3 linked regions of the Cricetulus griseus genome follow. The protein of the gene in region 1 purifies or fractionates together with the protein of each later gene. This does not show direct contact. Links are inferred from orthologs where the notes say so. Each region holds a gene or a part of one and is shown in the gene's direction. Other genes may lie near its edges. The genes, in order: Tfdp1, Max and L3mbtl2.

Evidence for each region.
Region 2: the proteins of Tfdp1 (region 1) and Max purify together in Homo sapiens (affinity purification with mass spectrometry; 5 studies listed by BioGRID and IntAct, with this or other methods). This does not show direct contact. The link is inferred for Cricetulus griseus from reciprocal best matches to the Homo sapiens genes TFDP1 and MAX.
Region 3: the proteins of Tfdp1 (region 1) and L3mbtl2 purify together in Homo sapiens (affinity purification with mass spectrometry; 4 studies listed by BioGRID and IntAct, counting the BioPlex papers as one, with this or other methods). This does not show direct contact. The link is inferred for Cricetulus griseus from reciprocal best matches to the Homo sapiens genes TFDP1 and L3MBTL2.

What each region holds. Positions count from the first base shown.
Region 1 is NW_023276807.1:67,450,008-67,453,756, reverse strand, and holds the start of Tfdp1 (transcription factor Dp-1), read left to right. Parts: upstream 1-940; 5' UTR 941-1,068; intron 1,069-1,757; 5' UTR 1,758-1,820; coding exon 1,821-1,832; intron 1,833-3,749. UniProt on the Homo sapiens protein: Can stimulate E2F-dependent transcription.
Region 2 is NC_048598.1:126,569,287-126,572,935, forward strand, and holds part of Max (protein max), read left to right. Parts: intron 1-2,704; coding exon 2,705-2,812; intron 2,813-3,649. UniProt on the Homo sapiens protein: Transcription regulator. Forms a sequence-specific DNA-binding protein complex with MYC or MAD which recognizes the core sequence 5'-CAC[GA]TG-3'. The MYC:MAX complex is a transcriptional activator, whereas the MAD:MAX complex is a repressor.
Region 3 is NC_048595.1:378,810,761-378,814,409, forward strand, and holds part of L3mbtl2 (lethal(3)malignant brain tumor-like protein 2), read left to right. Parts: coding exon 1-105; intron 106-1,323; coding exon 1,324-1,457; intron 1,458-3,649. UniProt on the Homo sapiens protein: Putative Polycomb group (PcG) protein. PcG proteins maintain the transcriptionally repressive state of genes, probably via a modification of chromatin, rendering it heritably changed in its expressibility.

The sequences.
Region 1 (3,749 bases):
TGGGATGAAGCCTACAGACTCTGAAATGACAGGAGCAAACACCCTTTCAGGATGCTTCCTGCCCTGAATCACTGACAACCCAAGTTCAGGCCATGTGGCTGTGGACGTCAATAGCTGAATAGTGGCAGGCTCTCTATGTCTCTGCAGTGTCCAATACGTGTGTGCATCCCAACAGTCTTCACTATGGCCTGTGTAAATGTACAAAACTCCTCTGCTGGGGGTGCACATACAGGTACGTTAAGGCACTCCTACAACTGACCTCTTTTTCCTCATGCGCACATAGCTGGCCCCTCTATTCGTACACACATACCTGTATTCTGTGCAGACATTAAACACAAATATACATAGTTGTATGTACAGGGGGTTTTCTGTATACATGTTCAGGCGTGCACGCCCGACTCATACTCTGCATATGCACGTGTATACAGCTATACTATCTGCATATACACAGGTGTGCCCACGTTACTCTTCTATGTGTACCTGCAGGTATGGCACACACCACAGATCTTTCTCCGTTGGCAGGTATCACACACACACACACACACACACACACACACACACACACACACAGACACACACACAGGCAAACACGTGGCCCTCTATTCCCTGCGCATGCACACAGATATGCATTCAGTTGGCCCTTGGTGTACACACAGAGGCGCGCACACACGTGGCCTCCATGCGCACATGCAGGCGCGCGCAGCACTTTTCAGTGCGGGCGGTCTCCAGCCGAGTCCCGCCGCACGCGCACGCGCGCACAGGCCCCTCCCCTATCCCAGGGCGGGTAGCACCGGCGAGAGGCGCGGGAGATGAGCGGCGGGAGGAGGAGGAGGAGGAGGAGGAGGAGGGCGCCGAAGGCGCGAAAAGGCGCGCAGGCGCGCTGCGCGGAGCGGGCCCGCCGCCGCCCACGTCACCGCGCCGCGCGCACGTCACGCCGGCCCGACGCTCGGCCCAGGGTGAGCCCGCGTCCGGCGCCGCTGGCTCAGGGCAGGGACCGCCAGGGCCGGACCTCCGGGCCGGCGCCCCCGCGCCCCCGTCGTCGCCCCGCGCGCCCCGCCGGCCAGCCAGGTGTGGCGGGGGCGCTGGCCGGCCGAGCGGGAGGGCGCGGGCTGGGCGCGCGGCCCCGTTCCCGCCCCAGCCCGGTTCCCGCGTCCGGCTGCATCCCGCCCGCCACCCAGCCTCAGCCCGGAGTCGGCCTCGACGCGGCGTGGCGTGGGCGGCGGGCAGGGGTCCTGGCCACCCTCCGGCTTTCTCCGCGCCAGCGCGCGGGGCTTGGTGGCCGGGCCTAGTGACAGGTGGGGCGGGCGGCGGGCCGGGAGCCCACCTGTCAGAGTGGTCGGCGGCTCCTTGGGGTCTTGGCAGCTCGAGGGCCTGCTGCGGCCCGGGGTTTGCCACGCAGTGTCGTGCCTAAGCTGGGGGCCTTGTGCCTCGGTGGGGCCTGTGGTCAGACGGGGCCCGCGCGCCCAGGTGGGGTGAGCCTGACGGCTGCGCCTTACTCTGCCAAGGGGTTGGGGTCTGGACCCTCTGCGAGTGGGAGCTGCTGGTGGCCGCAGGGAGCACTTCCATTTGGAGAGGTGACTTAAAATCCCCGTGTGGGACCTGCTTGGCTAGCTCTCCTGTCGGGATTGTGCAAGAAAGGCCCCTGCTGCCTGGAGGCCTGCCTCGTGCTGGTGGGGAGATGTTTCCTTTGAAATGCGATGTCTGTTAAACTTCTTTTTTCATTCTCTCTCATTAATTGTCTCCTTCCTTTTTGCCAGATAAGTCCGGTTTTTTCTGTGGCGGGTACGCAGTTACAGCCTTGATTTCCTGGATCTGGTAACATGGCAAAAGATGTAAGTATGATTGCTTCGTGCTGCAGACATGTTAGCTCACTGCTCCTTGCAGTTTTCTCTATGGCCGTGCGTGCATGGCCGTGGTTTATCCTCACATTTTACACGCAGGAGCTGGGATGGAGGTGAGGGATGGAGAGTCAGTAGGTGGGTGCCTCCCCCCTGCACAAGTGTTCTTTGTCATCTGAAGACTGACACGTTATTTGTGGTTGGATGATGTGGTCTTGATTTTTCCCTTAACCTATCTAGACAGTTTAAATTAAAAAAAAAATTGAATACACCTCTCAATTAAAATGAATGTGTGAGGGGGGTGTTGTGTGTTAGTGGGTTTCCACTCAGGACAGCTGTCAACATGGAACTTAGGCTGTACTTGTTTTATGTAGTACGCAGGACCGTAATTCAACTTTGATGGATTGAATATCAACAACTTGTTTGGGCACATTTTTCTCAGAAAGATGACATCTGGTGATTAATGAAACACGGTGGAAATGCTGGTTGGTTTAGCTTTATATTTATCTTGAAGCTACTGGATATTTTGAATAATTTTTTTTTTTGAAACAGATATGGAGAGTTAGGCTTTTAGGCTGCAAGATATAGTCTCTGTTGTTGGTTACATATATTTTTGCAATATCATCCTAACTCCTTCCAGCACTAATGATCTCCTTTTCAGTGTTCCTCAGCATTCACTGCCCTGTGAATGTTAGATTCCTGTATTTTCTGTGCAGCCTGGGAAATGCAGGCAGACGCGCTACATCATCTAGAGTTGTGCTCAGGTGTAGTGTGGCTGCGTCTATGGTGTGGGGCCAGGTACCGGTGGGTGCTGTGTCCTGTCCACTGACTTGAGGACTCAGCTATGCTTAATGATCCACATGGGTCAGACGGTGCCACTCTCCCTGTCATCAAGCACTTGGCTTGGGCCTGCTCTTTGGAGTTGTGTCACACCCTAGGAGATCTTGTATAGGTCACCTGAAGTCACAACCATATATGATACTGGCTTGATCTTGTTAGGTCCAGTTGTTTATCTACACCCATGTCCCCACTCTTCTCCATATGTATGCCCTAACATGTATGTGTGGGCTCAGCACATGCCCACAAAGTAACTAGATTTGGTAAATGGTTTGTAAATGGGATACTGGCCCCCATGCCTTTGTTAGGTCATGGTACTGGCACGATATTATTGCATTTTCAGTGAGCCAGCATGCTCAGAGTTTTGTCATTTTAGTTTTGCATCATTCACTCCCTTTCCATGTGCTGTGTCCCTGGGGAAAGGGGTGGTGCACTGTGAGGACAGGTGGTCAGGATCTCCCATCACAATGAGAGTCTGAGGCCAGCTGGTTTGGGGTTATCCATTGTGGTGTGGCTGGGCTGGTGCAGTGACTGAGTAACAGGGTGCTGGAGCTGACTCTCATCACCACACATATTCACACGCCACAAGCGTCTTCCCCAGTCAGAGGGGAATCAGAGACTGCAGACAGTCAAGGGTTGGGCCGTTCCTGTAGCCAACCATGTCTTTATATAGGATACGATACTTGTGTTTCAGAGAGGGACATTGTAGTCTGTGCTGAAGGAGAGGAAGTAGGCACCACTGAGTTTTCTAAGCACTTGATACTGGGGATGAAATCTAGCTGTAAAGTATAGCTGGACACCTGTGAGAGCAGAGGGGCTAAAGTCAAGCTCTGGGTCATGGAAGAGGACCAGGAAGGGTAGAGAGAAGACAACAAATAGCTAAGGGGCTTTCTGCCCCAGCAGATGCCCAGGCAGATGGGCAGGTGAGGGTTCCCTGTGAACTGCAGGCTGTGGCACAGGGCTGGCAGTTACCAGTGAACAGGATGGGATGACAGGAGCCGATTATGTTGACCTGGCAAAGGATTTCTCCCATGCAGGACAAGAAAGCTGATGTGGGAAGGCGTGGGAGTGGGC
Region 2 (3,649 bases), on another chromosome or scaffold:
CTCATCTGAGTTGTTTGTTCCACTACTGTAATTGCTGCACTGCTGTAAAGAGTTCACGGGAGGATCTCTAGCACCTTACGCTGAGAGTCTTCACCTGGTTTTTCTTTCTCAACTCTGAAATCTTGGCCTTTTGGGAATGAGCTTGTCAACAAGAGAACTTGGCTAACAAGGCAATCTTTTAGTCAGCCACTGGCCCAGCATGCAGGGCTGGGGGTACCATCCTCGCATGCAGCTTAGAAATACTTTCCAGAGAGAACTCTCAGCCTTGTGTGAAGGTGTGTCAAGTTTTCCTATGCTCTGTAAGCACTAGAAATGCCACTTCATTCAGAGTTGCCTGGAATTAGGCATGTGAGTTCCGCATGTTTTTCACGTGTGCTTGCAAATGAGGCTTGGGGACAAGGAAAAACAAATAGATCCTTGTGGCTGTCTCTGTTCAGGCATAACAGCTGAGGGATAGACATGCAGGAGGGATTGCTCTAAGATTCCACCGTTCTGCTAGTTAAATTGGGTCTGGAACCACCACAGAAATTCCATCCACTGCTTGGAGAACAACAGTCCCCAGCCCAGGCTTTCTACCAGGCAGTGGCCTGCTGCCTTTCCTAGCTGAGCCAACTTCTAACTTGGCTGACTCCCCAGATGAGAAGCCGAGATTTCTGCTCGTGGTCTATGGCCAAGTTCACTACAGTCCTCCAACCAAAAGACTGTTGTCCGTCTGAGTCCTTTCAGTGCTCAGCAGATGGGAGGGGTGGTACATCTTGGGGATGACAGCGGTGTTAGGTTCAACTTAGCTCCTTGCTTACAGCACAGGCCCTCAGAAAACCAAGTCCATCTTAGTTCTAACTGCCTGAGATTTTCAGGGTTCTCCCAGAAAGAAAACAGACAATTAGGATTTTTATTTGTATCAGCAAGAGGCATTGTGGGTAGCTGGTATCACTGCTTCTGTGCACAGCTCTTAAGCTGGGAGGAGGGCCAGGAGTCAGGGTGATTTAGTAGACAGAGTATCTTAGGCTGCTGCTGAAGACCAAAGCTGAGCAATTGGTTTGCATGTAAATAGACCATCTTGAAAATTACAGAGTAAACACCAGAGGCCTAGTGCATGCCAAATGTTGTCCTAGATCTCTTCTGTCCTCGAGTATTGTGACAGGCGGGTTTACCTGGGCATTGACATGTAGTTCCTTCAAGCTAACTTAATTTACACTGCTCTGAGAGGGCAGCTGTGGTTATCTTGCTTGCCCTAGTATTTTATAATACAGTGATAACACCTCTACCCTCAAGTTACCTGGTTTTCCAAGCTTAATTGTCCTTTCGGATTCCTCATTCTATTTTCTATATGACTAGTTAAGAAAATCCTTTGCTTTACAGTGAACTGAGGTTTAAGACAGGATAATTTAGGAATCCTCCCAGCTTGTGCCCCATCTTCAAGATGGTGACTGTGATGGGAACGTGTGCCCATTTAACAGAACTGTAGGTGAGGCTTCTGAGAAATCAGAAGGGAAACAGTCTACAGGGTCTCCAGGCTCTTCCCCTGGGGGGAGTCAGAGACTTTTAGGTTTTAGAATTTGATAGTAGAAGAATTTTTAATCCTTTTCTTCTCATTGCTCTTGTCTGATTTCTGTCTGCCCATCTTTTCTAGTACAAGGATTCAGTGGAAATGGCATTGTCAAACCAAGTTTATGCTTGTTGTTGCATTTCCAAAATTCCTGGTACTCTGTCTGGGCTTACTAGCCAGGTCACTTTCTAATGTGCAGACAGGCTCTTTAGGCTAGCTCAGCACAGCCTGCTCTAGTCTGGGGAAATGCTCAAGAGTATTTCTGTAATTCCTGAAGTAGAGGTGTGGTGAAGTTCTTGCTCAAGTAGTCCTTGTGTTCTGTGTAGAGGGAGATGAAGCTCCTTGGCAGTGCTCCCCAGCATGGTGCTCTGCTGCCTTCCCCTTCCTGATTGTTTGGCAGTCCTGAGCCTCACCAGCAGACTGTTTATAATTCCAAGCAGGAAAGGTTAAAGGCTGCTTAGGGTATTTAGAAAAGTGCCAAATGGGCCAGACCTGCTGCATGTGCATGAGGAAATTTACCAAGAGCATGTATGTGTCAGAAGGTCTGCTACCCAAAAAGTGCCTCTCTGGCTCAGCCTTGTGAGAGGAAACCCAAGTGCAGTTGGCACATCTGTCAGCTATGTCATAATAACCTCAAATGCAACTGGGCTTTCCAGAGGTTTGGAGCTCTCTTGTATGACCTGATGAGAGGGTATGTTGGTGACCTGTAGCAGAGCCTTGGATGGTAGGTTTCAAGTGGACAGAAGTACACCCCCGCCCCCCAGTCTCATGGTAGAGTAACCATATCTTAGGAAGGAGCCCACTGGAGCTTTCTTTAGTTACATTGCAACCACAGACTGGCAACTGCTCCATCACGTAGGTTGGGGACACTTGCAGGAGAGTCACACTTTGTCTCCTTGAATAACTTCGGTTTTACTTGTGCATGAGCTGGATCCACCGTGCTACTTTGGATGTTCCTGTTGCAAGCCTTACTCACCCCTTTCTCCCTCTTTAACAGAGCCTAATTCTGGAGACTCCTAACTGTCCATCTCACTCTGCAAATTTTCTCAGTCCACTTGCCAGGGACAGCGCTGACTGCACACACTTCCAGGCTTTACCACATCCACCTGGACAAGGAGTGGCATTCCTAACATGCTCTGTCTTCATTTCTCCTAGGCTGACAAACGGGCTCATCATAATGCACTGGAACGAAAACGCAGGGACCACATCAAAGACAGCTTTCACAGTTTGCGGGACTCGGTCCCGTCACTCCAAGGAGAAAAGGTGAGTTTATTGACAAATCAGTTGGCCCACCAGTAGCTTGGAACAGGACAGCCCTCCCTTCTGTGAAGAAAGGCAATCAGGTGGCACGGTCTCCTGTTTTTATTATTTATTTCATTTTATGTTTTTGATTCTCTGGAAGATTCTCACATATCTCAGTTGTTCTTGATTATCTTTAGCAAAAACAACATCATTTGTAATAGAGGTGTTTGTGAGACATCCCTAAAAAGTGGCCTTGCAAAATTGGAGATACGTGTCATTAATTACTTGTTTCTTTGGTGGTGCTGGGGATTGAACCCAGGACCTTGTCATGCTAGGCAGATAAATTAGTCATTCATGACATTATCATAACTATATACCTATGTACTGTAGTGTATAACTTGGTCCATAATTAGTTTGTGATCACTAAAGATTTCCGGGCCAGTGATCCCCTAAACCTCTGTGGGAATCGGTCTTGTTCAGTTCAGCATTAGTACTTAGTGTAAATGAACACTTGCAGGCAGGGCTGTGAACCTGCCTGGGCACCAGTGATTTCCAACCCTGACAGCCACTCTTCCCAAGATGTGTAAAAAGCATTGTAACCCATGGAACAAGAGTTAAGAGACTTGTTCATATGAAAGAGAAGTAAAAGGAAACCATTCCCATTCTCCCTAGAGGCCTTTAGAAACTGCTCTTTTCCCTGGAGAGGCAGGAGCCAGCTGTTTCTGTCTTCAAAAAACAAAAGCTTTGAGCAAAAGCCTATGGGTTAGGTCACTCCTTGGAAGATAGAGAAAAAATTTGTTTGCACAATTAGTTCCACCCTTGACGCTGTGTAACAGGCTTCTTTCTTCAGCCCTTCCA
Region 3 (3,649 bases), on another chromosome or scaffold:
AAGCAGAAAATGAAGACCGTGAAGCAGGGGAGCTTCCCACCTCACCTCTGCCTTTGCTCAACCCTGGGAATACCCGCTCCTTGGATGGAAGTGGTTCCGAGCCAGGTGCCTTCACAGTGTCCTTAGATGGAGAGTAGTCAGGAGTCTGTGGAGGAATCGGGCATGGATGGACATAGGCAATGTGGGCAGAGCCATATAGATGTGTGAGGGACTGTCTTGTAAGGGACTGTCTTCGAAGGCCATTTCCTCTCCTGCGGTCTAGTTTCACAGTATAATTCTCTGATACCTCGTGTCTGTTCAGCACATCTAGATGCCATTACCTTAGTGAGAGTAACCTGGTAGTCCCTAAGTGTGTTGTGAAGACCATGAGACACTCAACGATGTGAGTGCATTAAGCTTATGGGCTGCAAGCTGGAAAGTTGTAGGGATAGTGACCTTCATGTCAGAGGGCAGGTATGGAGGTGGGCAAAAGGTAGTGGCCTAGGATCTTCTGGAAGCCAGTTGACTTGGAAGAGGTGGTTCTTGGATGACTGACAGACCCTGTGTAAGGGCTTCTAGAGTGTGAACAGTATGTCCTTGAAAAGAGGCAGGCTCCAAACTGTGGACAGCACCTCTCCCTCCTTCATACTTGTACTCTTTGGCAGTAGGGTCAGATTTCCTTCCAATCAGCTTGGCTTCTCCTTCCCCCATTTTCCCCATCTTTTTCCCTGCTGTCTTCTAGCCCTTCTCAAAATCTGAGAACTTGAATACTAACAGGGATCACTAGGGAGAACAGCTAGTCTAGGGGCTGGTTCGTGACCCTGGCTGCAGATTTGTCATCTGGGAAGCTGGGAAAGCACTTTAGATGCTGTATCACTGGAGCCCAGGCCACAGCACTGTTGAGTGACCTAATATGGTCAGACAGACACAGCTTGTCCACTTACTCCCTGTGAGAGCAAGGAATTGCAAATGTTAAGTGATTTCAGCACCTTTTCTCTTATCAATTTCCTCTTTCTAAAACTTGTTGATCAGTTTCTGTTCATGTGGATTTCCAGCCCCTTAGCACTGGATTTTGATACAGAGCCAAAGGAAACCACATATCATCTTAAGAGGTTAGATGGAGCTGCACACACTTGTAGTCCCAGCTGCTAGAGATGCCGATGGAAGAGGGTCTATTGAACCTACAAATTTGAGGGTAGTGAGACTTGCTCTTGGAAGAGAACTCCACACACTGTCCACCACCTCCTCCTCTCACTCTATCAGCCTTAAAGCCTAACACTCACATGGTTGAGGAGCCTGTGGTTTTGTTCGACTTAAAGTGATTATGTCAAGGTCTCTTTCCAGCTGTCTGTGAGATGTGTGGTATCGTGGGCACAAGGGATGCTTTCTTCTCAAAGACCAAGAGGTTTTGCAGCGTCTCGTGTTCCAGGAGCTACTCCTCCAACTCCAAGAAAGCCAGTATCTTGGCTAGACTACAGGTGAGAGCAGCCACTCACACACTTCTCGAGGTCCCAGATGCTGAGCTGGGCCATGACATGATTGGAAGCAGACAGTTTAGTTAGTTTGGGGAGCTCATTGATAGTGGTCATCTGCGGTACATGAGAACTTGCCTCAAAAAGTTCCACCCACTCCTTCCTCCCCCCCCCCCAACCAAAAGAGGCTGTCAGGTGCCCTGGGACCTGGAGGCAGTTGTGAGCCACTGTGTAGGTGCTAGAAACAACCTGGATCCTCTGGAAGAACAGCCAGTAGTCTTAGCCAGTGAGCCATCTTACCAGACCCCTATTTAATTTAATTATTTGTTTTTGTTTTTGTTTGTTTGTTTGTTTGTTTGTTTGTTTTTGAGACAGGGTTTCTTTGTGTAACAGCCCTAGCTGCCTTGCAACTGTTTTTTTAGACCAGACTGGCCTTGAACTTCCAGAGATCTGCCTGACTCTGCCTCCTAAGTGCTGGCATTAAAGGCATGCACCACCACTGCCCGGCCCCTTATTTTATTTTGAGACAGGGTCACACTGTGTAGCTCTGACCTAAAACTCACTATGTAGACCAGGCTGGTCTCAGATTCACAACTTTCTCCCCTACATCCCTATTGCTGGGATTAAAGGTATGCCTACTACGTCCAGCAGTTCACATATTTTTTTTGTTTTTGTTTTTGTTTTGGTTTTGGTTTTTGGTTTGTTGAGAAAGGGTTTCTCTGTATTGCTTAGGAGCCTGTCCTGGAACTCACTCTGTAGACTCACTCTTAGACCACTCTTGAACTCACAGAGATCCGACTACCTCTGCCTCCCGAGTGCTGGGATTAAAGGCTTGCGCCACCAACACCCAACTAGCAATTCCTATTTTGAAAGGCTCAAAAATTTATGGGGCTGGAGAGATGGCTCAGACGTTAAGAACACTGGCTGCTCTTCTAGAGGTCCTGAGTTCAATTCCCAGCATCCACATGGTGGCTCACAACCATCTATAATGAGATCTGGTAACCTCTTCTGGCTTGCAGGCTGACATACCGGCAGAACACTATATACATAATAAATAAATCTTTAAAAAAAAAAATTTATGGTGACTTTAAGGTAATGGTTCTCAACACTCCTAATGTTGCAACCCTTTAATACAGTTCTTCCTGGGGTTCTCTCCCCTCCCCCCATTTCATTTTGTTTTATTTTTTGAGACAGAGTTTCTCTGTGTAGTGCTGTCATTGAACTAACTCTGTAGACTAGCCTTGCCTTGAACTCAGAGATCCGCCCACCTCTGCCTCCTGATTGCTGGGATTAAAGTCATGCACCACCAAGGCCTGGCCAATATCTCATGTTGTGGGGACCCCAACCATAAAATTATTTTGTTGCTACTTCATAACTAATTTTGCTACTGTTATAAATCATAATGTAGCCGGGCATTGGTGGCGCATGCCTTTAATCCCAGCACTCGGGAGGCAGAGGCAGGCGGATCTCTGTGAGTTCAAGGCTAGGCTGGTCTCCAGAGCGAGTGCCAGGATAGGTTCCAAAGCTACACAGAGAAACCCTGTCTCGAAAAAAAAAAAATCATAATGTAAATGACTGATATTCAGGATATCTGATATTTGACCCCTGTGAAAAAGTTGTTTGACACGCCCCCTCCCAAGGGGTTGAGAACCACTGCTTTAGGGACAGACCTCAGTGCAGGTGTACTCTGCTTATCTGGTATATTGGGTGGACTCCTGGCCTTTGTATTGTTGCTTAATTAATTATCTTGTATGAGTGAGCTTTCCCTGAGCCCTGATGAAAGCTCTCAATAATGTTCTGGAGGATGTTTGCAAATGTACAAAATGTTGGTGGGTTTGGAGAGTTTCTGGCTGCTCTGCAGCCCCTCAGTTGTAGCTCTCCAGGGAGCTGGGAACATGGAGAGGACTGCAGGAAAATGTTAGGGAGAGGCTTCTTGAGAAGTCAAAGGTCTGAATGATGCATGCATGTCTCTCCCTCATCTGCAGCACCACTGACCCCATCCTTCTGGAACCATCTCCTGAGTGTTCTCTCTCATAATCAGTATTTTTATTTATTTTATTTTAGTGTGTGTGTGTGTGTGTGTGTGTGTGTGTGTGTGTGTGTGTGTGTGTGTGTGTGTGTATTTTGAGACCAGGTTTCTCTGTGGCTGTCCTGGGACTCTTTCTGTAGACCAGGCTGGCCTTGAACTCACAGAGATC